Linked DNA regions of Oryzias latipes. The protein of the gene in region 1 binds, or shares a complex with, the protein of each later gene. Links are inferred from orthologs where the notes say so. Each region holds a gene or a part of one and is shown in the gene's direction. Other genes may lie near its edges.

What was found.
Region 2: snw1 (region 1) and snrpe share a complex: the UniProt entries of both Homo sapiens proteins name them as parts of the minor spliceosome. The link is inferred for Oryzias latipes from reciprocal best matches to the Homo sapiens genes SNW1 and SNRPE.
Region 3: snw1 (region 1) and ppil2 share a complex: the UniProt entries of both Homo sapiens proteins name them as parts of the minor spliceosome. The link is inferred for Oryzias latipes from reciprocal best matches to the Homo sapiens genes SNW1 and PPIL2.
Region 4: snw1 (region 1) and armc7 share a complex: the UniProt entries of both Homo sapiens proteins name them as parts of the minor spliceosome. The link is inferred for Oryzias latipes from reciprocal best matches to the Homo sapiens genes SNW1 and ARMC7.
Region 5: snw1 (region 1) and cwc22 share a complex: the UniProt entries of both Homo sapiens proteins name them as parts of the minor spliceosome. The link is inferred for Oryzias latipes from reciprocal best matches to the Homo sapiens genes SNW1 and CWC22.
Region 6: snw1 (region 1) and snip1 share a complex: the UniProt entries of both Homo sapiens proteins name them as parts of the SNARP complex. The link is inferred for Oryzias latipes from reciprocal best matches to the Homo sapiens genes SNW1 and SNIP1.
Region 7: snw1 (region 1) and snrnp40 share a complex: the UniProt entries of both Homo sapiens proteins name them as parts of the minor spliceosome. The link is inferred for Oryzias latipes from reciprocal best matches to the Homo sapiens genes SNW1 and SNRNP40.

The regions. Positions count from the first base shown.
Region 1 is NC_019882.2:3,678,808-3,682,745, reverse strand, and holds the start of snw1 (SNW domain-containing protein 1), read left to right. Parts: upstream 1-1,138; 5' UTR 1,139-1,251; coding exon 1,252-1,265; intron 1,266-1,687; coding exon 1,688-1,841; intron 1,842-1,915; coding exon 1,916-2,077; intron 2,078-3,093; coding exon 3,094-3,189; intron 3,190-3,335; coding exon 3,336-3,442; intron 3,443-3,938. UniProt on the Homo sapiens protein: Involved in pre-mRNA splicing as component of the spliceosome. As a component of the minor spliceosome, involved in the splicing of U12-type introns in pre-mRNAs.
Region 2 is NC_019863.2:23,629,254-23,633,376, reverse strand, and holds the start of snrpe (small nuclear ribonucleoprotein E), read left to right. Parts: upstream 1-1,323; 5' UTR 1,324-1,492; coding exon 1,493-1,546; intron 1,547-2,731; coding exon 2,732-2,758; intron 2,759-2,840; coding exon 2,841-2,903; intron 2,904-3,594; coding exon 3,595-3,673; intron 3,674-3,953; coding exon 3,954-4,009; 3' UTR 4,010-4,123. UniProt on the Homo sapiens protein: Plays a role in pre-mRNA splicing as a core component of the spliceosomal U1, U2, U4 and U5 small nuclear ribonucleoproteins (snRNPs), the building blocks of the spliceosome.
Region 3 is NC_019867.2:618,824-622,323, forward strand, and holds part of ppil2 (peptidyl-prolyl cis-trans isomerase-like 2), read left to right. Parts: coding exon 1-132; intron 133-3,500. UniProt on the Homo sapiens protein: Has a ubiquitin-protein ligase activity acting as an E3 ubiquitin protein ligase or as an ubiquitin-ubiquitin ligase promoting elongation of ubiquitin chains on substrates.
Region 4 is NC_019877.2:19,372,938-19,377,193, forward strand, and holds armc7 (armadillo repeat-containing protein 7), read left to right. Parts: upstream 1-1,456; 5' UTR 1,457-1,703; coding exon 1,704-1,794; intron 1,795-2,542; coding exon 2,543-2,686; intron 2,687-2,769; coding exon 2,770-3,113; 3' UTR 3,114-3,760; downstream 3,761-4,256. UniProt on the Homo sapiens protein: As a component of the minor spliceosome, involved in the splicing of U12-type introns in pre-mRNAs.
Region 5 is NC_019879.2:6,700,180-6,703,679, reverse strand, and holds part of cwc22 (pre-mRNA-splicing factor CWC22 homolog), read left to right. Parts: intron 1-1,910; coding exon 1,911-2,176; intron 2,177-2,563; coding exon 2,564-2,818; intron 2,819-3,026; coding exon 3,027-3,155; intron 3,156-3,500. UniProt on the Homo sapiens protein: Required for pre-mRNA splicing as component of the spliceosome. As a component of the minor spliceosome, involved in the splicing of U12-type introns in pre-mRNAs. Promotes exon-junction complex (EJC) assembly.
Region 6 is NC_019874.2:23,603,914-23,608,183, reverse strand, and holds the start of snip1 (smad nuclear-interacting protein 1), read left to right. Parts: upstream 1-1,470; 5' UTR 1,471-1,598; coding exon of another isoform or gene 1,599-1,669; 5' UTR 1,670-1,774; coding exon 1,775-1,914; intron 1,915-4,270. Other genes in the region: dnali1 (axonemal dynein light intermediate polypeptide 1), read right to left, coding at 1-129, 227-396, 948-1,060, 1,267-1,347. UniProt on the Homo sapiens protein: Required for pre-mRNA splicing as component of the spliceosome. As a component of the minor spliceosome, involved in the splicing of U12-type introns in pre-mRNAs. Down-regulates NF-kappa-B signaling by competing with RELA for CREBBP/EP300 binding.
Region 7 is NC_019869.2:21,982,921-21,987,085, reverse strand, and holds the start of snrnp40 (U5 small nuclear ribonucleoprotein 40 kDa protein), read left to right. Parts: upstream 1-1,365; 5' UTR 1,366-1,491; coding exon 1,492-1,602; intron 1,603-2,852; coding exon 2,853-2,982; intron 2,983-3,060; coding exon 3,061-3,154; intron 3,155-3,405; coding exon 3,406-3,571; intron 3,572-3,685; coding exon 3,686-3,808; intron 3,809-4,165. UniProt on the Homo sapiens protein: Required for pre-mRNA splicing as component of the activated spliceosome. Component of the U5 small nuclear ribonucleoprotein (snRNP) complex and the U4/U6-U5 tri-snRNP complex, building blocks of the spliceosome.

The DNA.
Region 1 (3,938 bases):
AGATTGACAGAAAAAGGATTTAGACTCGCAACATCTGCATGAAAGCAGGATATGAAATCACTTATCCATGAGTGGACTTAATAAGGTGGCTACCTGTTTTCTATTAGATCCTAAGGGATTTCCTTCTGTTTCAGCAAAAGTTCTCTGGCAGTCTGAGTCTCTTCCTGAATATGAATGATACTTTTTATTAAATATGAAAACAATCCAAAGGAAATGGAGGAAGTTTCCATCCACCAAAAAAAAATCCTCTTTTGAAGTAACAAAATATGTATCTGAAGTATCCTTATGTAATTTATAAAAACATTTATGCATTTTTTTTATTCAAGCATATCATTCTTTTATTCTGTCATCCTTGTTTTTTTATAAAATTATTATTTTTCTATTGTTGTTTTTTGTGTAATTTAAATGTTGCTTTAACTTCTTAACTTTACCTTTGACTCCCGTGTTTCTTCATTGGGAACCTGGCCTGCTGAGTCCAGGGCAGGGATCTGCAACCTGAGGCTATGGAGCCACATGTCCATCCATTGTGGCTCTAAGGTTTAAAAAAAAAAAGGGAATGATTTGAAGAAATTATAAATGTGAAGTTTGGAACAAAATAATAATAAGAGTTGTAGTGTACTGTCTGAGTGTTTTTTGTTTTGTTTTTTTCAAATAAGCCTTAAAGCTCTTTTTCTGATCCTCTGCGCCACAACACTGTGTAGTTGCTGTTCAGAGACAAAGTTCTTATAGTTTATAAGTTATGATGCAGCCAGAAGATCTTATTTGGTACAGGGTGTAATTTATTTTTAAAGGAATTTGGATAAGCGGCCGTCAGAAGTAAAGCAAGTCCAAATTTGTATGCATAGAAAATATAAAGGCTGTGTTATTTCAATTATTTTAAATATTTAATAACTTTATTTTATAGATGAATAGATGATTGGCCAATACAACATATAGGGTTTTTTAATAATTAGAAAAAAATGTGGGAAGCACAAGTGTATGTATAAAGTTTCGTGTTTTTTTCATTGGGTGGGTGAAAGCCTGTTTTTTGTGTGCATTGGCTTTTATTATGTAATTAACTTAACAAGTTAACATAACAAATAAAATGTTGTAAAACGAGTATGTACTTTTATTTTATTTTGTTTTTATCGAACTGGACATGGTTTGATATGTATTAGAGCTTAGAATTGTCAAACCTGGCAACCTTCTTCTCTTTTTCGCTTACGGCCTGTTCTTGCGCATGCTCACTTCATAGTTCAGGAAGAAAGGAAAATGTCTCTGACGAGGTAAGTCTCTAAGTGAGGCCTTTTGGCGAATAAGGCACAAAATGCGATCGGAGTTTCTGTCTGTGTTTGTTATACATTTATTTGGTTTAATATTAAACGTTAAATATTTAGTTAAACTTTAAACGTTTCGCTCTTTTCTGTGTTTATGATGTTAGCTAATGCTAGCTAGTGCTAACTAGTGAGACGGGGTTAGCATTAGCTTGTACCCTCAAACGACCGTTTCTGAAGTTAGCTTGTTTGTTTAATCTATTACTTAAACACATGTATTTGATATCGTGTTAAATAAACCTCTTTACCTGCATTAACGTTTCAGGTTTGCAGTTTTTGTTCCTGCTACTTTGACGTCGTTTCACGCTGATCCGCGTTTACAGCGACTTGCTAAGTTGTCTTTAAACTGCATTATGTGGACCTGTTTTGCACAGCTATTTACCGGCACCGACCCAGCTGTCTCAGGACCAGCTGGAAGCAGAAGAGCGGATTCGGACCCAGAAATCCTATTCCACTGCGCTGGTTGCGTCCCGTAAAGAACCCCCTCCTTACGGACACAGAAAAGGCTGGGTTCCGCGTGCATTTGAGGTGCACTTCAATGGATTACACATTGGTTCACTGCCTAGTTTCGCATTTCTACAAAACATTCTGGGTGTTCCTAGGACTTCGGAGATGGCGGGGCTTTTCCAGAGATTCACGTGGCCCAGTTTCCTCTGGAGATGGGCAGGAAGAAGAAGACCTCTAACGCCCTGGCAGTTCAAGTGGACGCAGAAGGGAAAATCAAATATGATGCCATTGCCAGACAAGGACAGGCTAAGGATAAGGTACTTGAGCTTTTCCTCTTTCTGGCAGTCAGTGAGGAGCTTTAAAACCCTATTCTTGCTCTTAGTGTCCACAAATACATGAGAGGTTCTGACTTCTTGGTTCTATTCCTATCAGACACGGCTGTGTTTTATTTGTATTTTTTCACATAAAAAAGAACCAACAAGTCAGTTAATAATACAAGACACGATGAACTTTATCAAACTAACATGAGAGGTTCATTATATGACTTGACAGATTCTAAATTGACCTCTAAAAGTCCAGCTGAAGAACCGATGTTCTGGATGACAGAATCTCCACAGAAATGTGGGACCTAATCTTAACTTTGGTAATACAGCTTGGTTTGGTTGTCATTTAAAAAAAATGCACACTATAGTGTTTTGTTTTTTGTAAAAACCATGTTTGATCCTTACATTTCTATTGGTGTTCATACACGACACTCCAGACGCATGTGGGAGGAGCTACCGCCAAACGGTTTTAGCCTCATTGCTGCAGACAGGGATGATGTTGAGATATCACGTTTTTCTACTTTGAAGAGCTCTACAAAAATGTCGATAGGCACGTCTCCATGTCTTGATCAATGAGATCATCCAGAGACTCCCACATCTGCTCCTGAAAGGGAAACCCAGTTTGACGACTTTCTGTTCTGCATTCAGGACCTTTTTTTGTGTGTCTTGATCCACTTATAACATCTTCAACGCATCCCGGTCCGAAGAGGAGTCCCTGATTGGTTGACGCGGCGCATCTTGTTTGCCGAAGTTCATATTTTTGAACTCTTGACGCACCGCAACAGCCAAAAAAGCGCGCGGCTGCCAGACTGGTGTGCAGCTCCAAAATCAAATCTGATTGCTTCTTTACGTTAAGCTAACATTAAAACTGGACACTCCTAATGCGCAAATGGCATTTAGTGTAAACGCAGCTTTACACAATCTATCCTATTCTATGAGTCTGCATGTTTTGCCATATTGGTAAATTTTGAGTGAGATTATTTCTATAATTTTCTTCTTGATTTTTGTAGGTGATTTACAGCAAGTACACTGATCTGCTCCCAAAAGAAGTTCTTAATGAAGACGCTTCAGGCCTTCAGAAGCCGGATGAGGAGGCTGTAGAAGAGGTAATTTGCTGCTCGGGCTCGTGCAGACATTCAGGATTCATTCATCCGATTTGGTGAAATTGTCTTTCAGCGTGCCCTTACTTATTGTTTTTAATTACTGTAAGCATGTGTAGTTTCTCATGGTTGGGGATGGATGCTCTTTGCAGTTGACTGAGAAGACTCGGGCCGCTCTACAAAAGCAGGTGTCGCAAAAGATTGCTGCAGCCATGCCTGTCCGGGCCGCCGACAAACTCGCTCCTGCACAATATATCAGGTAGCAATTTACCTGAATCATAAACAGTACTTCTATTTTAGATCGAGGACTTCTTTGTTGTTCCATCAGATCCTCTTGGATTTTGCAATCACACCAGTTCACATGAATTCAACCAATTCTTGCGACGTTTTTGCCCAATTACTTTTGCCAGCTGCTCTTATTTTAAACACTTTCTCCACCAATCAAGCGTAGAGGCTGAAGCATAAACATCTCTTGTCTAATCGAACATGCTTACTTCTGGAACTATATCAAACAACAAAAGGAAGTATTGAACAGTCGGTCTATCACAACATTTTGCAAATATTGAAGCTGGAAGTTTCCTTCAACGTTGCGTTGAAGCACCAGCGAGTCGATGATTGACGAGAACCTTTCCACCTGACGTTTGCAGAAAACGACTGAAAGTTGTGTAGAGAGTATATGGAGATGTTGATTTACCCTTCATGGGGTTAAATAAAATCCCCTTCAATAAACAACTTTTCAAATATTTCTCCTCCTA
Region 2 (4,123 bases), on another chromosome or scaffold:
CTGGACACTCAGCATTAAGGGGTTGGATTGGGGGGGTTAAATCCACCAAAATGGTTCCCGAGTGCAGCTGTGTCTGCAGCTCACCGCTCCCCCAGGATGGGTCAAATGCGGAAACAAATTTCGCACACTTAGGTGTGTGAGAGAGAGTGGGGTTTAATTTAATTTAATTTAACACACATGTAATTAGAAAGTCACATACATGTTTTTATGTTTTATATTCTTAATTTAGCTCACAAAAATCTTAGGTGGGGAAAAAACACTCCTCAATGGAGCTCATGTTCCTGCTAAATTCATAGGTCTGCATCTGCAGGTGAAAATATATTTCACATTTAATCAAAAACAAAAGTTATGCGATAAATTCTAAACCTTTTTGAAGAAAGAACACTACTGAACAAGAAGAATCATTTGTACCTCTCACCTTCTTGACTAAATACTTTTATAGACAACTTCTTTAAATCGACTGCACTTTTTAACAATGTTTATTGTAGAACTCAGATTAGAACTTTAAGTTTATTTATAAGGAAAGTGAAGTGAAACCTTTTACTAATGTTCATCTTGGGCTCGAGTTGTTTCTTATGTTTTTGTTTTTCTCTGCTGCCCTCTTTTGGATAAAATAGGTCACTGCTGTGACAGTAGAACCTGGTCAAGATAAATGTTTAGGAAATAGTTTACAAAATTAAACTCTAATATTGAAAACAAAATTACTTGTAAGAAAATAATAATAATAAAAAGTTTGAACAATTATGGAAAAATTACAAAAATTATCAACAATTTTCACTTATTGAATTTGTGTTGCAAAAACAACTACAGTAATTACATATCTGTATGCTTGTTAATATTATGTGTAATAGGAAAATAAAAAAATAAAAATCTAAATGATAAATTAGACTATATACATCCAACAATTGAACATCTATGAAGTAAATGACGCTATATCCAAACTAGTTGATGTATCAATATTTAAACCTTCTTTTCTGCTATATGAAAGCTGTTCAAATATTATTGGTACTTGTGTTAATCACTGAAATTAATCCAAGCAAAAATAAACGATTACTGAAAATGTACAAGAAAAAAGTCGAAGCAAAACCTTTGTATTTTTCCCTTCAGGATTAAGAAATAAATATGTACTGAAACAGACGTTGACAAAAAATATGGTGACTCAAAAACAACTTAATTATTAAATTTAGCCTTTTAATTGGTACCAGATGTGTTTTCATACTTTTTATAAGTCATAATTAGTCTGCATATTTGAAGGATTTCACACTGAACGTAATTTTTGACCAAATATCAAATTGTGCAGTATTGACATCCTGCCTGTAGGTGGCGCTTGTTCGGTGAAGGGAAACCTTTCAGTGCAGGAACCGGATGCGGAAAGAAACCCGCCATTAAGGCAACTTGGCATCGTGAGCTGAACGTTGAAATCATTCAATTGTAAAAGGCAATATTTCTTTAACGAAATACTTCTTGCGTGTCTTTTTTGCGTGTGAAGAGAATGGCTTACCGAGGACAAGGACAGAAGGTGCAGAAGGTTATGGTGCAGCCCATTGTATCCTTTCTTTGCTGTTAGCATTTGTTAGCAGCGATGCTAATCGGTTATTTCTCGTGTTTGCTCATCGGTAAACTGTATTCCTTTTTTTTCTAGGTACTACATGACTTTCTAAATACATTGGAATGCATATTTACTGACTTTTTTTAATTTCAGTATTGAAGCACGTATTTTTCTGTTTATCGATCAAATTTAAGCACGACGTTGTACTTCGAAAGAAATTGAATTTGAAACAAACATTTTTAGCATTTTCTAAACGTACATAGCAATATGATGGGTTATCAATTTACTATTATACATTTTACAAAAATACGTTTGTTTAATTGGAAAGAAGAAAACAATGACACGTTTACCTTTGGCAGAGTTTTCTTTTAGTGAAAAAAGAAGTCAACAATCGAGATGTTGCACTTAACGACTTAAACTAATAATATTAGTTAAATGCACTACTTTGGTCTGATAATTAAATGTTCTTTTGATTTGTTGTAACAATTGGTCATATTTTGTAGTTTTTTATTTGGTTTTTAACTTAACTCAAGTTTGTCCCTGTGAGTGTGTGAGACCTGTTTTCTTATTTTTCTTGATTATGAAGTGACATGTCATCTATAAAAAAATAAAAAAGATGTTAAAGAAATTAAGAATACCATTAAAATTTGACTCGTAAAAAAACCCCTAACAAAGTCAATAAATAAGAGAAAATCTAATGCCAGAACCCGTTTTAAATCCATTTTTAAGCGTGTCTTCAGTTGTTTTGACATGGTTGCCCTACAGTTTACGTTATAACGTGGATACATCAGCAGAAGTTAAATAGTAAACTGTAAAACTCTAGAACAATTGCAGAATTTCTGTAAGCTGGTAAAAGGCATAACTAACGTTAAAAGACCGCCGATAATACTTCAAAAATAGATCAAAATGATCTGAGTGGGACTTTCGAGCAAATTCTGCGTCATCCATAGCTTTATTTCATCATTTCGGTCATGTAATTGGTTTGTGAAGTCCTTTTTCACTGGCTTACATTGAAATGTATGACATTCACTGGTATTTAACAGGATCTCAGCTCTCCGGTTAAAGTGCAAAACAGTTTGTGTCACTCTACTGAAATTGAAATGACTAGTTCATGTTATTTGAAATATCTTCTGTAACATTGAAACGGTTTAGACATGTCATTTCCTTGACTCTGTTCATCAGAACCTCATTTTCAGATACCTTCAGAACGTGAGTATTGAAGGCTCTTGCAGGTTCACCTTTTGTCTCGGTGGTGACTGAAATACTGATTCGTGTCATCTTTGCTTTGCAGCGCTCACGAATCCAGGTGTGGCTTTATGAGCAGGTGAACATGCGGATAGAAGGCTGCATCATTGTAAGATTTCTCTTTATTTTACTTTCACAGTGTTTGTTAACTTTCCAAATGTGTGCCACAGTTACTTTAAAACTGGTATAGACTGTAAAAACGATCGACGATTCCAGGTTTTCCTTCTCCGCTCCAAAAGGGGGAACAAGAGAAAGTTTGAGAACCACTGACCTAGCATTTTAGTTATTTTTTTTATTGGAGCTTGGTAAAAGTTCTTAATGGCTGGTGTTAGATCCACAATAATCAACTTAAAACTGTTTTGCAGAAATTTTTTCTACGACTATTTTGGGGCTCTGTTTTAGCTGCTTTTGCAGCGGGCACCTTTCTTACCAGTAGAGCAGAACTCTGCAGCTGATTTAAAAATGTATTTGAAAACGGCAACAAAAAAAACACACACTGGTTCAGACTCACAATACAGTAGGTAAATGATCAATGAGAACAGCATAATGACAAACTAAGCATGAATTAGGAGACCAATTGAAATTGCCGGTCCTACACTCTTGACACTTTAATCTATTTTCAGAACATTCTCGGTGATCTTTTAACTATGATTATGCTGTTTTTAGCCGAAATAAAAACAAACAACCTGTGCCGTTTTCTTGGGGGGGAAAAACCTTGAGAGCCTGAATTTAAATGAATCCAAACAGCTTCAGTTATGAAAGTAGTTAATTGATTATTTCCTTTTTATTTTATTTTCCAGGGCTTTGATGAGTACATGAACCTGGTTCTAGATGATGCTGAGGAGGTCCACATGAAGACCAAGAACAGAAAGCCACTGGGTAAGACTCTTTAGCTTGTTTAATTTGTTAAATTTCAGTTACTATTTTTTGATCTTAGCAGTTATTAGAACAGCTTTATTTATTTATTTTACAATGAAAAATTTGAATATTCTTTGTATTTATTAACATGTACTGTTAGCTTTTGTTTCTAGAACTGCTGTAACAAAATATTTGTTTGAGGAAAACATAGAAATATTTTTCCAGTCAGTATTTATTTGTTATACACTCAGGAATGTCAGTTTTTAAAATGTCAAGATAAATTTCTTTCCTTGTTTCACAGGTCGGGTTATGTTAAAGGGCGACAACATCACCTTGCTGCAGAGTGTCTCTACCTAGTGACACCAGTGACGACTGCAGATCCTGTCTTTTTTTTCTGTTAACTGCTTACGATTTTATGCATAAATGTGAGTTTCTCTACAACCTTTGAGAATAAATGGCTTTGTTTTTTTC
Region 3 (3,500 bases), on another chromosome or scaffold:
TACCATCTGAACAGCACCAATCTGGAAACCAGGGAGACCTTAGCCGAGCTCTACAAGGAATACAAAGGAGATCAGCTGCTGGCCTCCACCATGAAGGAGCCGGAGGCCAAGAAAACGGACAAACTAAATGCTGTGAGTAGAACCCTGATAGGAATAAACTCCTCCTGACGTTGTTCTGACACACTTTGTTTTGGCGTAGCGTCAGAGCTTCTTGTTCTTCTCCTCAGAGTTGTTGAATAATTATGAAGCAGATTCTGTTTTTACTGCTGAACAATTGCCTAATGCAGCAGTGACTCAGCCCCTCCCACATGCAGCAGAGATCTCAGCTGTTTTTTTGTTTTTCAAATCCATCATTTCAACTCAGACAAATGAAGCCAATGGCTCAGCTGTTCCTGGTCACATGATAAATACCGTAGGAGCCTTGCTGCCTTTTTGTTTGACTGGAAAACAAGGACAGCAGGTTTTTAATGATGCCAACCTGTTTGGTTTTTCCTCTAATGAAAGCTGCTTCACGGAGCAGAGCTCTGTCAGTAAAATGAACCGTCTGGATCGTTTCACTGTCAGATCAGCTGTTCGTTTTTAGCCAGCAGCTCATGAAAAGTGCCATATCTGCTTCCAACACAAGAGGGAGCCAGACAGACAGGTGTGCAGCTACAGCAGAGTTGGACTGACTGACATGACAGCTAATCAGTCAGACTGGAGCAGCTTTTCTCCTCATTTTGAAGCTTCTTTTTGCTGCTGGGCTGCGTTTGGCACAGAGGTTTCCTGAACATGGCGGTCTGGAGGTGAAGGTGGTCTGAGAGAACAGACACAGCAAATGAGGTGAAGTCTGAGCTTTCACAGCAACTGGAGCAGAAACGTGTAAAGTCTGTGGCTCCACGTTCATTTTCTGCTCACTGAGCTGTCGGCTTTGCTCAAACGCCGTGTCAACAAATGTGCACGCGAGGACGAGAGGGCCGCAAATCCTCAGCGCTGCAGCGAAGAGGCGTGCCTCCAGGTTTACATCCATCATGTTAAATCAAAACGTTGAGTTCATGAAAGCCTCTCTTGCCTTTAATGTCCTTTTAGTTTGTCGGCATTTTAAAACCATCAGCTTTTCTTCAATGAATAGTTGATCGTTTCTCTGAAAACCAGGTTTTCTGATGTTCAAGGAGTCAACAAATGTATGTTTTTATTATCAATATTGCAGTTATTCAGGGGGGTATTCCAGGAAGCATGTTTAAACTCCCCTGACTTTAAGCCTGAACTCTGGCTGAAATCTGCCTGAACTTGCTTACTCTGGGTATGTCGGTTCCCAAAGACCGGATATGAGTTGGTGTAATTACGCTCCACTTGGTAACCCTGGGTTAATGCACGTGCACAGCAGGTACATAAAGACATTCTCAATAGATCGCCGATTTCTGGAGTCACCATGGAAACGCGTGGAGAAAAAAAGAGAACGCTATACTTCAGTGAGACGGAGTCTGAGATTAATGACGGCGTATGAAGATTATACGACCATCAAAAAAGTGACACGGCTGCATCATCAGCAAAAGAAAGTTTCTGCTTGGAGAAAAAGAACAGACAAAGTAAACGCACGAGTTTCTGATCTTATTTCCATTTTCCTTGTGACGCATATATATATAACTTATCCAATTTTGCCACCTTAAATGAAATACTTCTATTGGTAACAAATAATTGAGTTAAATTTAATCAACCTAATTTCTTACGTCTATAAAACTCAATAATTGTTTTTACAACTCAAATTTATGTATTTATCTAACTAAATGTCATATTACTCCAATTCAATTAATATTTTTCCATCTTAATTAATTATATTTCTTGATCTCTCATATGTCTAAGTATGAGCCGGCAGATATGTTCATTTTTATAACAATAAAAAGGACGGGAAAGAAATGCACATTGTGCACAAATTCATTAAAGAATTGTCCGTCTTTGTCATTACAATATGTAACGGTAGGGGTGCTCTATAAACTCATCATCCTCTCCTTCACTCTCACTCATGGTGCAGAGACATAAGCACAGTGGGACAAAATAACTCGGCAAAACAGCTAAACAACTAAACACATTTGGTCAAAAAGCCACACTTAAACCCAAATCCGTCCAGATAGGCAAAAGGAATGGTATCCCACAATCCCTTGCGGTGCCGGTCTAACAGCAGCACCAAAGTTAAACCTACTTAATTGAATTAATTTGAATGAAAGTAAAATGACTGTCTGAAAACTACGTGTTATTTTTAAACTGACTTAACAAACAAAGGATTTATCTTAACTGAAGCAAATAACTAAGTTAGATCAAAGTAAAAAAGTTTCTCTTTCCAACATCCATATGTGGTCTTATCCCCCTCTCATGGTGGAAAAAGTATTATCTGAGCTTCTTCATCCACTAAATCATCTTCAAATGGACACGCCATGCTGCTTCACCTCTCTGAAAACAAACTAACCTTCAACTAAACCTGCTCCAGACCAGGTTATGTTCAGAGCATGAGTTGCTATGGCAACTTGACATACCCTGAAACATACCTCTGTTTTTGGAACTGAAAGCTGAGGTTATCAACTTCCTTAGCCTCAAACTTACCGTGAGAGCTAGCATAACCTACTGTCTGGAATACCCCCCTGGAAACCGGCTCTAAGGTTTTCAGTAACGCTTTCCTTTACAGTACAGTCCTTACAGTGTACTTAAGCGGTATTTACATGGTACTTTTTGTGTAACTACTGGGTACTTACAGTGTTTACATGTGTACTTTTTATGGAATTTACTGGTTACTTACTTGGTACTTTTACAATGGTACTTTTTGGTTGATTGTTGTTCGTGTGTTCATATTTTGTTTGTAGTTCGCCAGCTGTTCACCTGCTGTTCGTTTGTTGTTTGTTTGTTTGTTGTTCATTCGTTTGTTGTTCATTTGTTGTTAGTTTTTTGTTTTTAGCTTGTTGTTTGTTTGTTGCCTGTTAGCTTGTTGTTTTCCTGTTAGCTTGTTGTTTGCCTGTTAGCTTGTTTGTTTGTTTTTAGCTTGTTGTTTGTTTGTTTGTTTGTTGTTTTCCTGTTAGCTTGTTGTTTGCCTGTTAGCTTGTTGTTTGTTTGTTTGTTGTTTGCCTGTTAGCTTGTTGTTTGTTGTTAGCTTGTTGTTTGGTTGTTTGTTGTTTTCCTGTTAGCTTGTTGTTTGCCTGTTAGCTTGTTGTTTGTTTGTTTGTTGTTTGCCTGTTAGCTTGTTTGTTTGTTTGTTTTTAGCTTGTTGTTTGGTTGTTGTTTTTCTGTTAGCTTGTTGTTTGCCTGTTAGCTTGTTGGTTGTTGTGAGCTTGTTGTTTGTTTGTTTGTTGTTTGCCTGTTAGCTTGTTTGTTTGTTTGTTTTTAGCTTGTTTGGTTGTTGTTAGCTTGTTTGTTTGTTGTTTTCCTGTTAGCTAGTTGTTTGCCTGTTAGCTTATTGTTTGTTGTTAGCTTGTTGCTTGTTTGTTGTTTTCCTGTTAGCTTGTTGTTTGCCTGTTAGCTTGTTGTTTGCCTGT
Region 4 (4,256 bases), on another chromosome or scaffold:
GGCGTCATTGCGAGCGCGCTCCTGGGCCCGAAGTTCATCCACATCTTCAAAGAACCTGTGTCTGCAAGACAGAAAAATACAAACACAGGACACAAAAATAAGCTGCATTTTAAACCACAAAATGCAAAAATGGGCTCTCTTTAAGACAGTAACCTGGTTTGGAAAAGCACAATCTGCAGCTCAAATTCTTTTTAAAACTTTTTTTTAGAAAAGGAATCTCTGCAGCAGTACACCAACTAAACCAGAGCAGATTTCACACAAAAAAATTTAAAAAAAATTTAAAAAATGTAATCTGATAAAAGCAGCTGCACTAAGTGTCAAAAACGTGACACCAATGTAGAAAAGAGAAATTTGTGAAGTGAAAAAGCCCCCCACTTCCAATAACACAATATGTTTTACAAAAAAGATTCTTATTTTAAAGATATATTTTACAAAGACATTTATTTAGATTTCTTTAATTTATTTTAAATAGTAATTGCACTCCAGGTTGTAGAAGATACTGGTCAAAAACTGAAATTATGCTAAATAATCTACTAATTAAAAACATTAGTGTCTCATTACAAATGATTACTAATTATAAATTAAAAATGCTGTTACCTGCAGTCTTACACTTATATAATTAAATGTTAGTATTTTTTGTGGTGCAAAGAAAGAGTATGTGTCTGTGATGCCTTGCTTTGGAAATAAAAAGGGCTACAAAATAAAAATAGTTGTATTTTTCCTATTACTAAAGATATTTAAAGACAAAATTTCCTGTTAATGAAATTATGGTTTGGCTCCAATGTTAATTTGTACTTAAGGACAGTACAGACATGTTTTCAGTGTTTTTCTTAAACTTGATTACAATCAAACGTCAGCGTCATTACGCAAGGACAACAATCTCCAACGTTAAACACATAAAAAAATATTCTGAATATATAGACTAAAGTCTATATTTGCGTTATAACTTTCCTATTGTTTTATACAAAATAAGAAAATAGATCACCTGTTTATGTAAACAGTGGCAAGTCCAACAATGATGCTCCCGAACAGAATAGGTTTCGTGAGCCTTTTAGCTGCAGAGAGCTTGTGAGGCTTCATTGCTGCAGAACTTTAAATCAGAAGGTTCACGGCATAGAATCCAAACAGCAACAGAAACGTGAGTTTGTTTTCAGCTGACCTTCCTGCGCGTGAGTTAGTTAGCTGAAGGGACGTTGGAGCGCCTCAACTTCCGGTCCAGCACTGACGTCTATGTCGACAAAGAAGTACCGACTTCCGTTTGAGAATTGAATTTCGTAAAGTAATTTGCTTTTATCGTCTATGACAAAAAGTAATCATTTAATTAAATTAAATCAAAGTGATTTATTACCGAAACATTATAGGCCTAATTATTAAAAATCACAACGTTTTAAGTGATAAAATAAATTGACAGCTCTTTTTTATGTAAGAACAGCTTAATTCTACTTTTGGGTTTCATTTTTAATTGTTATTCTGTTGCGTTAACAGTTCATCCAGTCTTCAGAAGAAGAAAAAAAAAGAGTCACGAAACAATATCCCGGAACCACTGTCCAAATTCTAATTTAAGCCGGACGTATTTGAAAGACGGACAAAATGAACGAACTACTGAAACCAAATGCATAAATGAGGATACTATTTCAAATGTATTTTATTTTTTTGTTTTAATCGCGCGTTTGTCTTCTTAAAAACACAATATAAGATACTGAATGATGAAACGGAACTTTTCACCCGAAACCTCTGACCGGTTTGAATATTTACAGGCTCTTGTCACAGAGTTTCAGGATAGTGACAGTGAAGGTAAAAACACAAATAGCTCGCAGATTCATTTAGAAAAACTAAGAATTATTGCTAGTTTACAACAAATTCTTTGAAATTAAATTGTTAATGCATAAACATTGTAATGAAAGCATGTCTTACTTATATCAATCCATGATAGTCACTTTATATATATATATATATATATATATATATATATATATATATATATATATATATATATATATATATATATATATATATATATAATTATTTTTTTATTTTTATTTATTTTATTATATATATATATATATAAACTACAAAAATTTAATTTTTAAAATCTGAATGCTTAGAAACAGGACAGATTATTCAGGAAAAAAACAATGCATTTATCTTTTAAGATTTTTTTTTTTAAATAATTATGCTTTAGTAATTCTGACGATCATGTTTGAATACTAAATTAAAAATGCATAATGACGTTTTTTAAAAATCAATAAAACCAAAATTTAACAAATGCCATTTAATGATTTATGCTGATAGACTTTTGCAGCCTTTTATATGCAATATATAAAGGATCAAACTACATATTATTGTCCGTCAATAATTTTTTAGGAATGCAGGTCTTTAGTCTTATTTTTAATGTTGAGGTGTAAAAAAGCGCCCTCTGGTGGATTAAATTTATCTTGCTTTTGGTCCTTGTTCCCGTTTCAGTCATTAATGTCCAGTATATGTAATTTAATTGAATTTGAATCTGATTCTGTGTTTTTTATTTATGTTCTGTTGTCGTTAGAGGCAAAGGAGCAGGTTTTGGCAAACCTCGCCAACTTTGCTTACGACCCAAAGAACACAGAGTATCTGCGACAGCTGCAAGTGACCGACCTGTTTCTGGATATGTTGACTGAGAAGAACGAGAACTTTATTGAGTTTGGAATGGGTGAATCTTTTTAGATTATCATTTGGGTTTTTTTGTACCATAAATGCAGTGAAAAACATTTTTTTTGGTCTAAATTTTCTCAGGTGGGCTCTGTAACCTCAGTATGGACCCAGACTGCAGGGACCTCATCCTGGACAGTGACGGCATCAGCTTAATCACAAACTGTCTGTCAAACCAGAGGGAGGAGACAGTGCTATCAGCAATTACTACCCTTATGAACCTTGTGACTCCAGCTTCACAATCTCAGCTCACAGAGCCAGGCATCTTGCAGTGCATGCTGCGTTTCTCTCTTGCTGAGAGTCCCCGGCTGCACAACCTAGCTGCTGTGTTCCTGCAGGACTGCTGCACCAAGGATCAGGTCAGGCAGGCCGAGCAGCAGATGCAGGGACAGCAGATGGCTGTTGGGATCCCACTACCCAAAGACTAAAGACTTTGCTTCACAGTCAAGTGGAAACAAACAGTGACCGTTTTGGTTTTATGATTGTTTAATTTCTGGTGTTTTCAGCAGATGTTGAACCGATCTGGAGGATTTCCTTTGAACAAAATCCACCCTAAAGTTGGTTATGAAGAGAGGAAAATTAAGCTGCTTGTCCAGGTCTTGCACCTCCTCTCATTTGCAGCTGGAGTTTGCACAGGACTCATGTCTTCACTGGATCAGAATCTGAATATTAAGATGGTTTTTGTATGTTTTTAAGCACAAGTACATTTATAAAAGTAATTTGAAATTTGCTCAAAACAGGCTTCCAGCAAAATGAGTATATTTGTTCTCATGGAAAAATGGTAAAGATGTGTTTTACTAGACAGAAAATAATTCCTTTCAAATGTTGGACACCAACTGAAAAGGTCAGATACTCATCAAAGGAAAAATGAGGGAAAGTTTGTCTGTAGTCGTATTAGATTTAAAAAAAAAAGACATATAGAAACCCAAGTTATCCTGCTTTCATGGGAGGAATACGTTTCTACCAACTGTCACTAATCAGCAGAAATACCAAACCTCATGGAAGCCTAAGTTTGTGGCTTTCTTAGTCTGGATAATTCAGGTGTCTTTTATTGAAATAAAAAAAATCTACAGAAGTTCTGCCTTCGTGTGAGTGTTTGGCTCTCCTCCCTTTAGTCCTGACTTGGGCGGCATGATATGAGGAAAATTTGCAACATTGGTGATCAATATTGCGATGACAATATACTTGCTACATATCAACAAATAGCAAAAACAGCTGCATTTTAATTTTACAACAACAAGGGTTAACCCTTGTGCTATCCTAGACATTTTAACGTTGGGAGTTGGGTCATCTAGACCCACTAGACAGTGCGCTAAACCTTTTTTCTTCAATGATTTGTGATCTTCACTGGTGTCAATGGATTACATGACATCTTTCCACCTTTATCCACATTTGTCATGGTAGGGAGAACACGTCGATGTAAGGGTGGGGTCATCTAAGATATCACAAGGGTTTCGTAAAATGTAAATAGTTTCAATTATTTACACTCCAAATGACCCTCGTCTACCTATGAGGCGAGCATCTAACATAAAAGGGCTCCATCCGATTGGTCAAATGCACAAAGGGATTTA
Region 5 (3,500 bases), on another chromosome or scaffold:
AAGGGGAGAGGATGATGACACCTGTACGATGTCATGCGTGTAAAAATAAAAGCTCAGGCTTCGTCTTGCCATGACTCTGGTACTTGTTTATCATGGCATAGCGACCATAATCATCTGTCTACAAGTTTCAAGACGGGTCCTAGGAACCTTTCTGTGACGTCATACCGGTCCGTGGCATTAAAAACGTTGGGGACCACTGTTCTAGAAGACTTCATGATTCCTCCTGCTGAGGATCTGGATGGAGACGCAGATTTCATCTTCCAGCAGGACTTAGACCCCGCCCATATCGCTACAAGCTCCAAAGCCTGGTTTGATGCTCGTCTGGCCTGCCAACTCGATAAACCTAAAGGCCATTGAAAATGTATGGGGTCAAACAAAAAAAGAGCTGACGGCAGCATCAAGAAAATCTGGGCTCCCATAACGCCACAAGCTGATTGCATCAATGTCACAGTGCATCAAGGCAGTTGTTAAGGCTAAGGGATTCCCAACCTAGCAATGAAGATCGACATATCATTTTGAAAATACATTATTTTAATGGATTTCATGTGATCATGACCTCCGTCTTTATCTTCTTGCAAAAGGGGAGATTTCCCCACAGTACCGTATTCAGATTTTCTGAAATCTTGTTTTTGTGGGTTTTATGAGCTGGAACTCCAATTAATCCCCAAACAAATACACTTGAAATCAATTAAATGGTGGGCCCCAAACCTTTACACTATAAAAGTTCAATTTTTTGAAATGAATTATGGAAATTAATACTCTTTTCCATGTAGAAAGTGTCTGTTTTGAATATACTATTTAAGACTCCTTAAAGGAGAAAAAAAGAAGAAAAAACTTCAACTTTTAATGATAATTTTCCACTTGTCTTTCTTAGTTTAAAAAAAGAGTCAACATAAATAAACTATTGAAATTAACTTCTCTGTTTAAATATATTACATTGTGCTGTTAATCCTAAAGACTTGGAAAATCATGTTTTATCTGTCTGGCTTTTCAAAATCAGATGCATCTGGAATTTAAATGTGTGAAGTCTGTCATTAACTTTTTTATTTTGTAAAGGTTTCTTCTTGAATGTCTGAGTGTCCTTATTATATACTTGTCTTAATTCATTTCAAAGCTTTTTTTCTTTTTCTAATGATCAAAATGTCCTCTTTTTTTCTGATGTCACACTATTATCAGTTTAAAGAGTACACTGTGCCCCAGAAAAGCTTTATGTACTGTAGACATTTGCACATCCACTATTTTTACATTGTTGATTTAAAGTCTTCAGGTTTCATGAATGAAAACTGACCACCATTTAGTTTAAACAAACTCGCAGAGAAAGCTGCCAAAAAAGATGCAATATCATTTCCATCTGCCATCATCTGAATCTTAGTTAAGCATTTCTGCCATCATGAGCATCATTTTAATAGATACCTTGACTTTGTGACTAAATACAACATATTTTATCTGATGTTAAATTCTTTTAAATACTACTTGTAATTAATAATTTCAGATTAAAAAAAAATAGCATCTTAATTGAGATTTCAGGCAGAGGGAAATTAGCTTTTTTTTTATTGAAGAAAGGCACCCCAGGATATCTGAGCAAAAACTGGAGTACTGATTGAGACAATAACAAATGAAAGAAGACTTTGTGGCAATGACTGTTTTCTGAGAGACGAGCTCTCCAGTTACCTGCAGGCTCTTATTTAAAGCAGACGGATGTAGACAGACGATGGACTGCAGAGTTGCTTCCGTCACTCAACTGAACTAAAGCTTGGAAGCAAAAAAATGTCTTTTTTTAATCAATAGAAATGGAATATTTGTTTTTTTAGATTGATTTGTAATGGTAACCCAAAAGCTCACATAGTTGCATGATGTGAACAGCTTAAGTTGGCAGTCTTGATTAACTGTCCTATGTTTGTGTCTTTCAGAGACCGGAGTTGAAAGAGCAAGCAAGGTCCAGATCCAGGGAAAAGGACAACTCCAGATCCAGATCCAGATCCAGATCCAAGTCGGGTGAGAAAGACCAACCCCGGTCCAGGGAGAGAGAAAGATCTCAGTCCAGGGGTCGTGATAGATCCAGATCCAGATCAAGATCCAGGGGAAGAGACGGATCGAGGTCCAGAAGACGGGACAGATCCAGGTCCAAATCTAGAGACCGGAACCCAGACCGTTCTAACAGAAGATATTATGCTCGGTAACTGTTAGACACACACCAACACTGTCTGATTTCATCCTATTTCTTTTAAATAGAAGGAAAAACTTCTTTGAATTTCATTAAGCAGCTGTGGATTTATATGTTAGGGTACCCTAGTTTAGAATTATCTTATTTTAAATCAAAGGTTTGTCATAATTATTTTTACTCTTAGATGTTCTTTTTTTTGCTGGATTTATCATTTTTTTCCCCATGTTTATTTGTAGACCTAACTTTTTTTTGGGTCAAAATTATTTTTGTAAAGTCTTTTAACATATTTAAATCCACTCTTTAGAACTAATGTTGAACAGATTGGACGAACGTGAGTCTCAAGAAATCGAACCTTTCACGGGTTTGACACAAAACCTTTTGAATATTTTTGATTTTCAGGGATCGCTACCAGGATCAACGCGACGATAGAAATGGACGCTTTGATTGGCGAGGCAACAGGGATATGGAGTCCGGTGAGAGGAGGCGGGGCCGCTCCGCTTCTCCTTCCAATGACAAGGAGCCAGATTCTGCCGAAAAGCCTCCCGTTAAGAAGAAAAAGGAGGAGATTGATCCGATCCTGACCAGGACCGGGGGTGCTTACATTCCCCCTGCCAAGCTGCGCATGATGCAGCAACAAATCACTGACAAGAGCAGGTGAGACAGAGATTAAGACCTTTTATTTAACTAAAGGTATGAACCCATTCTGGAACTTTCCATTTTAGTGGCAGGTTTTTATCAAGCTATTCACCATTTTTACGTTTTATTAGCAGCTTCAGATCACTTATTATTTCATTTATTTGTCTGTTCAGCAGCTGAAGTCAGTTTATTAGCCAGTTGATTAACTCGTTGCCTGCCTGTACAGCCTGGCCTATCAGAGGATGAGCTGGGAGGCTCTGAAGAAGTCCATCAACGGTTTGATCAACAAAGTCAACGTGTCCAACATCGTCAACATCATCCAGGAGCTCCTACACGAAAATATCGTCAGAGGGAGGTGAGCTTATGGTCAGATAAAAAACACTGCACATAACTTCTGAAAAACCTCAGTAACAACTGAGGCTAATATACGATATTCTGCTTTGAAGAACAGTTTCCGTTGCTTTTATTAAGTCATTTTTATTTATCAAATAATTTAAAAAACTAGAATGTAGGCCTGCAAAATAAATCGCAAATCAATTATTATACAATACGCATATCGCAAAAGACGGCGAAAAATTGCAATAAATGGTTCCCTTCAATGTGCTCAAACAGTCCTATGACACCTTAAAGTATTTAACGAATCAAATAAATCCATTTCTGCATTTGACCTCTCAGATGGACCCTTTACAACATTGACCAA
Region 6 (4,270 bases), on another chromosome or scaffold:
TCCCAAAAGCAATGCTGCTCTCAGACAAGTTTTGGTAGGCTCTTATCATCATCTGCATCTCATTTCTGACCCGGCACAACAGCAGACCTCTCTCCGCACATTCAATGGTTACCTGTCTGATGAGTTCATCTCAAAAAGGAAATAAGATGCATAATACATTTATATTTCATAACTATCCACATTTTTACTCGGAGATGAGCTTTGTCCCGACCCTCCGCTGTCTTACCGAAACACTGGGAAAACAGAACCCAGCGGATGGGGCAGATGCCAGTTGGTTTGGCCTTTTTCTGCTTTAGCTTTATGTTCAGCTGCTCCTGCAGATGAATGACATCTTTCCTCGTGGTAATGGCTGTAGATACTTTCTGCACCCACTGTTGGTCCCCCTCTGTCCATTCTCTGTAATGGTAAGAAATCAGAATTTACTTGGAAAATCATTTGACAGTAACTTTTGGATGCTTTCGGGATCTTAGATTGTGTGTCAGCTTTTTATTTTTGAATTAAGTAAAAAGCAGACGTATGTGTGATAATGCACCTGTGGGCAATATTTGCTGTCAAGACTTGATCTTTTTAAGTTGATGAAAGTTGGACATTCACTGAGCTACAGGACCTTTCCTCTTTTCCTTGTTAGACATTAGGATTTGTTGGTGATCTTTGGATCACATAAAAACTACATTTGTTCCAACTGTAGCTGTTCCACTGTGTTGTTTAAAGTTTTTTGAGTTACATGGCATGAAAAGCATCTGTTTTACAAAAAAAAAGCCTGATTTTATTTGATTTCCCAGATTTGACTTTTGAGAAATAAAAGTTGAGGATGGTCATTGTGCTCTGGTGCATGCCACAGTCTATGTTTGTCTGCATAACTTAGGAAGAAGAATAAATAATAATGAATCTAGAATAAATAAATCTGAATCGTTGTGCTTAGGTGAGCTTTTGAGGTTTTCTTTTACCTAGGTGGTAAGATGGCATGCAAAATGTTTTCATCCAAATTCTGTGTAGGGGGAGATGGAACACCTGCTGCAAAGCTGGGAGCTGGAAGGTTGCTCAACGTTAGAGTACGTCCCTATTAACGAAAAAAAAGGGGGGAAAATTGTACATTTATTTGTATTATTATTTTTTTGTAATTTCTTTTATTATTTTTGAAGATTTTATTTGGTAGCCTTTCATTGTCCACAATAAAGAAATTATGGAAGTACAATGAGATTTCTAGCCTTAATTGATATAGTTTCTGGGCGCCAGTTAAATAGATCATTAACCATCAAGACTTACCTTTTGAGATTTTTTATCTCCTTTTGTTTTTACCAATATCGGATTATCGTATTTCAAGAGGGACTCGCCAAAAGAAGTCATCGTTTTGAGGTGAGAGAGCAAGTTACACGTTTTGTTAGAAATACCGTTTCACTGTTTGTGTTGTCATGGCGACACTTTTTCAAAATAAAATAATATTGATTTGAACAAAGTTTCATTTAAGAATACTTTTTATGTAATACGACACGTATATGTGTCATCAATGCTTCAGTCTATGACAAAAAAAACTTGAACATCACGTTTTCCCCATTTAAAACGAATTAGGCCATGGCGGAACCAACAATAGGGAGCACATGGAGCACGTCGAGGGGATTAATTTGAGTCACCGGAAACGGAAGTTTGTTTTCACAACGCCAGAAGTTTGGTAACGCATCAAAGGTTTTATTTTTTATCTTGGCTTGTCTTTGTCTAGCTACTGTGTCGTGTTTTGGTTGAATTGAGCTCAAATTTATTGGAAAAATAAACTAAAATGACTAAAGAAAAGCGAGACAGAAGAAGGGAGTCTCCAGAACGGCAGCCCGAAGTGAAGATAAAGCAGGAGAAACTGAGCCCGAGTAGCACTAGCAGGCCACACAGATCACGCAGTCCACAGGGGAGACGAGCTAGCAGGTAAATGTCTGAAGGTTTTACTACGATTCATGACGTAAAACTGTCTAAATATAAAACAATTCACAACATTATTTTTTTGTTGTACTTTCGCTGATGAAAATCTAGCTTCCGGTTTTCATTTTTGACGGTTACGGAATAAACACTTAACGTAAGGGATACCCGGTTGCTCCAAAAGAGTTTTGATCTGAGGTTTCTGTAAATCAAATAATCCTTAACACGTTTGTGTCAAAAGTAGTATAAGTATCTGACTCGTATCAAGTAAATCTTGTTTATTGTTCTAAGATATTTTATTACCGTCTTGCTGATAAATCAAGGTTAGACTAGAGACATAAAATTTGCTTTAATTTTTTTTTTTATTGAAATATACTCATTACAAAACTCTGGCAGACACAACAACACAATGATGCAAGGCACAGCTCTTCACGAAAAACAAAGATAAAAAAAAAACAAGAATGTATACATATATAAAAAAAACTATCAGCATAAATTAAAATACAAGGCAATCAACAATCTGGACCCTAGATTTGTAACCATTCTGTAGCAGATTTACAAATGTCATCAATGAAAGAATTTGAGTTGTGAATACATTTCAATGAGGATAAATACAATCTGACTTCATTTTTAAAACACAGGAAATTCGGCCGATCTTTTTTCCACTTTTGCTTATGAATATATTTTCCCAAAATCAGGAGGATGTTCACTATTTGTTGGCTCTTTTGGCAACTTACTGTTTTAAAACAAAATATGTTTTTCTGTGAATTGTATGTTGTTAATTTTTTGACTAAGCCAATTATGAAAATCTTGCCAGAATCTTTCACTGGTCTGGACATGAAAAAAACAGGTGTTGGGTTGTTTCTGGGGTTACCTGACAGAAATCACACGGATCAACCTCAAAGCCAAATCTACTTCTCAATGTCTCTGCCGATGGGTAATAATTGTTTATAATTTTGAACTGCATTTCTTTAATTTTGGGAACCACTGGCCATTTTATGAATTTCCATAGTTGAGCATCTGATGTGACAGGTGTCTCAGTTATTTTATATTTCACTTTTCTGTTAAAGTCATGGTATAATTTACCTCTAAAGGATTTGTTTAGCAATTTATTATCACGTTTTTTTTCACTAAATTTTATTTCTCCTATTACTAAATTTGGTAGTTTAATTTGAACATAGGAAGACAATATTGTATTTTTTATTAAATGTATTGAAGCAATTGGAATTGCTCAGCAGGTTTTCTGAAATTCCTCGGTTGAGCATTCAATATCATATTTACCTTTGAAGTCTCTTAACTGAAGAATTTCTCCATTTGAATCAAGAATATCACTTACAAAATGATCTTAAGATAAATATACTTTATTGATCCCAGCTTGGGAAATTGGGTTGATGCAGCGTCGGCGTTAGGCTCAAGGTACAAACATACAAACAATAGATGACAACAGAGAACCAGAACAATTTTATTTATTTTTTTATTTGAAATGGTTTATTTCAAGCAATTAAGTAGAAATAATACACAACAGCAATATAATCATCAGTTATACATTCATACAGTAACTAATCAAACTTAGGATAATTATACATATTAATAAATATTGCTTGAAAGGGAGTGGAAGGAAGCGAATTTATATAATCCCACCCCGTTATACTGTAACCATTTTATTACATGATTTATCAATATCCGGTTCCCAGTTTATATCATACAGAATTAAAAATCATAAGATATCGATAAAGCACATGACAAAGATGAATTACTTAAGTATTACGTCAAAAATAACTATTTTAGAAATCAACATGGCAAATGCAGATCAGTCATCTGAAATATATGCAGATTATGTTACTTATAAAAGCCATTCATATGAATAAAACATAATACTATATCAGTAAAGTAGACACAACACTGTTTCAGGAATTTTCATAGCAAAATTTCATCAAGTATCAAAAGTTAAAAACATGTGCAAAATTATGCTACATTAGGAAAGATTTTTGAATCAATTTATCAATTTTTGGAGAAAGTGAAATAAAATCATTAAAAGGCAATCAATTTAACAATTTTCAATAAGTCATTAATCATTTGTTTTACTTTTTTAAATATTTTTTTTGTATTTTTATTATTATTTTTTTTATAATAAAGTAATGCTGTAGGGGGAAAGTAAAAAGGGTCCATAACTGTCGATTGTCCAAGGTTGGTCTTTCTTCTTTAACTGATAACAGCCGTACTTCTGGGTTCAAAACAGAGTTTATAGTTCTCTTCGATGTTATGACTGCAGACATTAGATTCAGGTCCATATCCTTCTTCAGCTGATATCAGCGACGGTGAAAGTTGAGGTCAAGTTGTCTGCAGGTCAGAACTCTCTGCTGTT
Region 7 (4,165 bases), on another chromosome or scaffold:
GTTTATCACTCCCTTAATTTGAGCTGAGCTCGCCACACAAATGTCAAATCTCTTATGCTCATCCTAGATTTTTTTTGCTCAAACTACTCTAGTTTTGAGATTTTGGTACCCACAAGTGAGGAGGTGCTCTGCCACAGTCATAAGTACCTGTTTAGAATCGGTATGTGCCAACTTTATACCAGTACTGTTTCCCAAAACCAAGTAGTTGCATTGTCTGGTACAAGCTGAAGCTGGTATACAAACTGGAGACCAGGTTTTTTATGTAACTAGAGATGATAACAGTAAAGTGAGTTTTCAGAGAAAACCCCTGGATGTTTCCTCAATCAGTCAGCACTAAGGTGGCATACATTGCCTTGTACAGATCTGCGGTCAGGGCTGCACTGTGACAAAGTGGTTAGCGCTTTACTCTAAATCTGTGCATGCGTGGGTTTTCTCCAGGAGATCCGGCTTCCTCCCACCATCCAAAAACATGCGAGTGGCCGGGTAAGGCTCTGACAGCCCCATGACCCCGAAAGGGACAAAACGGGTTTACAAAATGGATAGATTTGCCATCAGTGTTTATGCCCAGACAATTCAGAGAGCAGAGACCTTGAGGTGAAAACTTGCAATCCCTTTATCTTCGTGGTTTCCGACCAAACTCTTCCCTTTAAGACAACTTACTGCCTCTCTTAGATTTCTACATAATTTGGGAGAGGAAATGAAACAGCAATCTTCTTTCATCCAATTCACCAAACGAAAGTCATAAAAGAAAATGAATTAATTTCAAAGGTAATGTGGTTGACAGAAAGAGTTCGGTAAATTTTTAACCTCTGCTGTGCTGTTCACTTCTTGCAAATAAAGAATGACCTTGTGCCTTTTGGGATATTTATTTGTACAAATATGTGGTTGAAAATGAAAATTGTCATTCGTGTCATTTTAAACTACGATGAAGCCAACCTGTCGCAATAAAGCATTAACTTCCCGGTACCAAAGAAATATAATTACTAATTTTATTTATGTAAAAATTAGCTCAAAGTTGTTGTTTTTTAATAATCGAGCGAACAAAAAATCTAAGTTGACAACAAGACAAGTCAGCAATGAATTTGGTTAGCTTATAATTTCGTCCTCTTACGGTTTGTACCGTCAGTTCAAAGACAAAAGCTCAGACATGAACAGTATAGGCGTTTGTCGTGGTAGAACGATAAGGAAAATCACGCAAAAAGTATCTTAAGTCTTGAAAAAAGGATGAAAATATTACCTTTCGTGTGGTTAGCTGAACTCAGATTGTTGTACTTCCGGTGCATTGTCGCTGACAACGTCTTCATCAGCCAATCACAGCAGGAGATGGATGTTTAAACCAATCACACAGCTCATACTCACCGGAAACACTTCATCCTGATTTCTTCGTTGGTGCTACGCTTTTCTCGTTTCCCATGAAGGCGCAAATAGTCATTCGGTAAACCGTAGTCACAAACAAACTTATTTTTGTCGATTATTTGCAATTATTTCGGGATGATTGAACCAAAGAAAAGAGCGGGAGACATGGCGGTAATTCCCACCGCTGTGAAGCGAGCCCGGAACGAGCTGGTGGCGGCGGCACAGTCCCAGCAACTCGTGGCTACGGTACGAAAAGAATCAACGTTCACACAAAAAAACTCAAATTAGAGAAAATATATACACACGGGTGTTGACCCGCATTTGTATTATGCATGCTTTAAATGATGTAATCTAAAATTTACTCAAACACGACATTTTTTGTGGTGCACCTATTATTTCTTGACGTAGAGAACACATGACAACGAATAACAACACGAGTTTTCGCTAGGATATTTAATTTTTGGATGTAATGTTGCTTCTTTAAAATACGTATTATATTCGAAATCCCGTTGTTATCAACAAACTGATGGTAAAGGAACCTTTCCCAGTTATGGGTGTTTCCGGGGTGAACCGTGAACAGGTTACAAATCCTAGGCTAATGTTATGATAGAAAATTAAAAAATGTTATTTTTTTTATTAAGCATGAGTTTTGTGTATTTAAACCTTTTCCAGTTTGTAGATGTTTTTCTGTAAGTAGATATTTTGATTATTGAGACAAAACTATAGGATATTTAACAGGATAGATACTAAATCTTTTTTTTCTATTGTAAAAAATAAATAGCTTTTAAACACTGGGGTTTCATTTTAGCAATCATCTTTTGATGTTGCAAAAATCTGCATGACATATCACCTGCAACAGTCACATTCACAGTCACCCATGCACACACACATTCACACACTGATGGCGGTTTCGCTCTCTTACTGGCGCCAAACTATAACCACCAGAAGCAATGTGGGGTTCAGTGTCCTGCCCAAGGACATTTCCACACATGGGTGGGCAAGGCGGGAACCTAACCTGCGATATTCATGATCAGGTGGACCGCTCTGCCTCTGCACCACAAGCCCCTGCATGGAAAGTGTGCCACCATAGGGTGCAGAGGCAGAGCGGTCCACCTGATCACAAATATCGCAGGTTAGGTTCCCGCCTTGCCCACCCATTTGTGGAACCTAACCTGCGATATTTGTGATCAGGTGGACCGCTCTGCCTCTGCACCACAAGCCCCTGCATGGAAAGTGTGCCACCATAGGGTGGCAAGATCCTTTGTGTCACATGATCAATTTGATCCTTTACAAATGATCCATTTCCTCACTGGTCTGCTGCAGATTTGCATTAAACTTTGTGGACTTTACTCTGAAGCGTTCTGTGGCACATTAAGCCCAAACGCACTTTTATTTATCTGTCTTTTATCACATGCCTGTTTTCTTTTTAGATTTCACTTGGACTAAATCTGGAAGAAAAAAACAGAAAGTAAATTAAACTGACCTTTCTCCTCCAGGGTCCTCCTCGGACCTCCAGCCTGCAAGCTCCCATCATGCTGATGTCGGGCCACGAGGGCGAGGTGTACTGCTGCAAATTTCATCCAAATGGAGCCACGCTGGCGTCTTCTGGCTTCGACCGACTCATATGTAAGCAAAAAGAGGCAAGCTGCCGTTCTCCCGGCCTTCTTCTGTTGCTTTGTTCCTCACTTACTTCCTTTACCTCAGTTCTGTGGAACGTTTTTGGGGAGTGTGAAAATTACGCCACCCTGAAGGGCCACAGTGGAGCTGTGATGGAGCTGCATTACAACACAGATGGCAGGTAGGAAGAAAGCTGTAGATTTTATCTTTAAACTTCACCTTTAAATTGACATTTTTCTTGTTTTAGGTTATGTTTACAGTGAAAGTAAAGCTCATATTCTCATTGTTTCTTAGTCTTAGTTTGATTTCAAAAACTAAGGAACTTTATGGAACAAAAAAAATGTTCATCTGTAAATTTTAGGACTTGGAACTATCTACATTTCTTAAATAACCTTTCCATAAAATTTGACTGGATCATTTTTGTGCCTCCAGCTTGTTATTTTCGGCAAGCACAGACAAGACCGTGGGCATTTGGGACAGTGAAACAGGGGAGAGGATTAAGCGCCTGAAAGGTCACACTTCCTTTGTTAACACCTGCTACCCAGCTCGCCGGGGGCCACAACTGGTCTGCACCGGCAGCGATGATGGGACGATAAAGGTGTGACATTTTTATTTTAGGTGCAGTTATTTATTCTGAATGCTTCAACTGTTGAGGTCCCATTCAAAGTTTTTAAATGTTGCTTTATTGTATTTTTGTTAATCGTCACTGCAGTTGTGGGACATCCGTAAAAAGGCGGCAATTCACACCTTCCAGAACACCTACCAAGTTTTGGCCGTGACGTTTAATGACACCAGCGACCAAATCCTGTCTGGAGGCATCGACAATGACATCAAGGTATTTGGATTGTTCTAAAAAAAACAACAACCAGCAGAGTGTCCTTGGTTTTGTTTTGTAAGATTAACAGGAAGTCTGAAATCTCAGCTGCTACGTGGCTCTACTGTAGATGGCAAGAAAAAAGTTTGACATTTTATAAAAACTCAGTGTTTAAGGTAAAAACTTTCTGACATTTTGAAAGAAAAAAGAAATCAGTGATTTAGTTGTTTTCAATCCGTTTTAAATAACACATTTTATTAGTCTGCCATAAAGCTTAAATCAACGTTTTATCATGTGTTTGCCTTCATTTAAATGCACCAAATAATCTGATTCTACTTAGATAAAGACTAACATGTGAAAAAAAAAATTTCGGTTTCA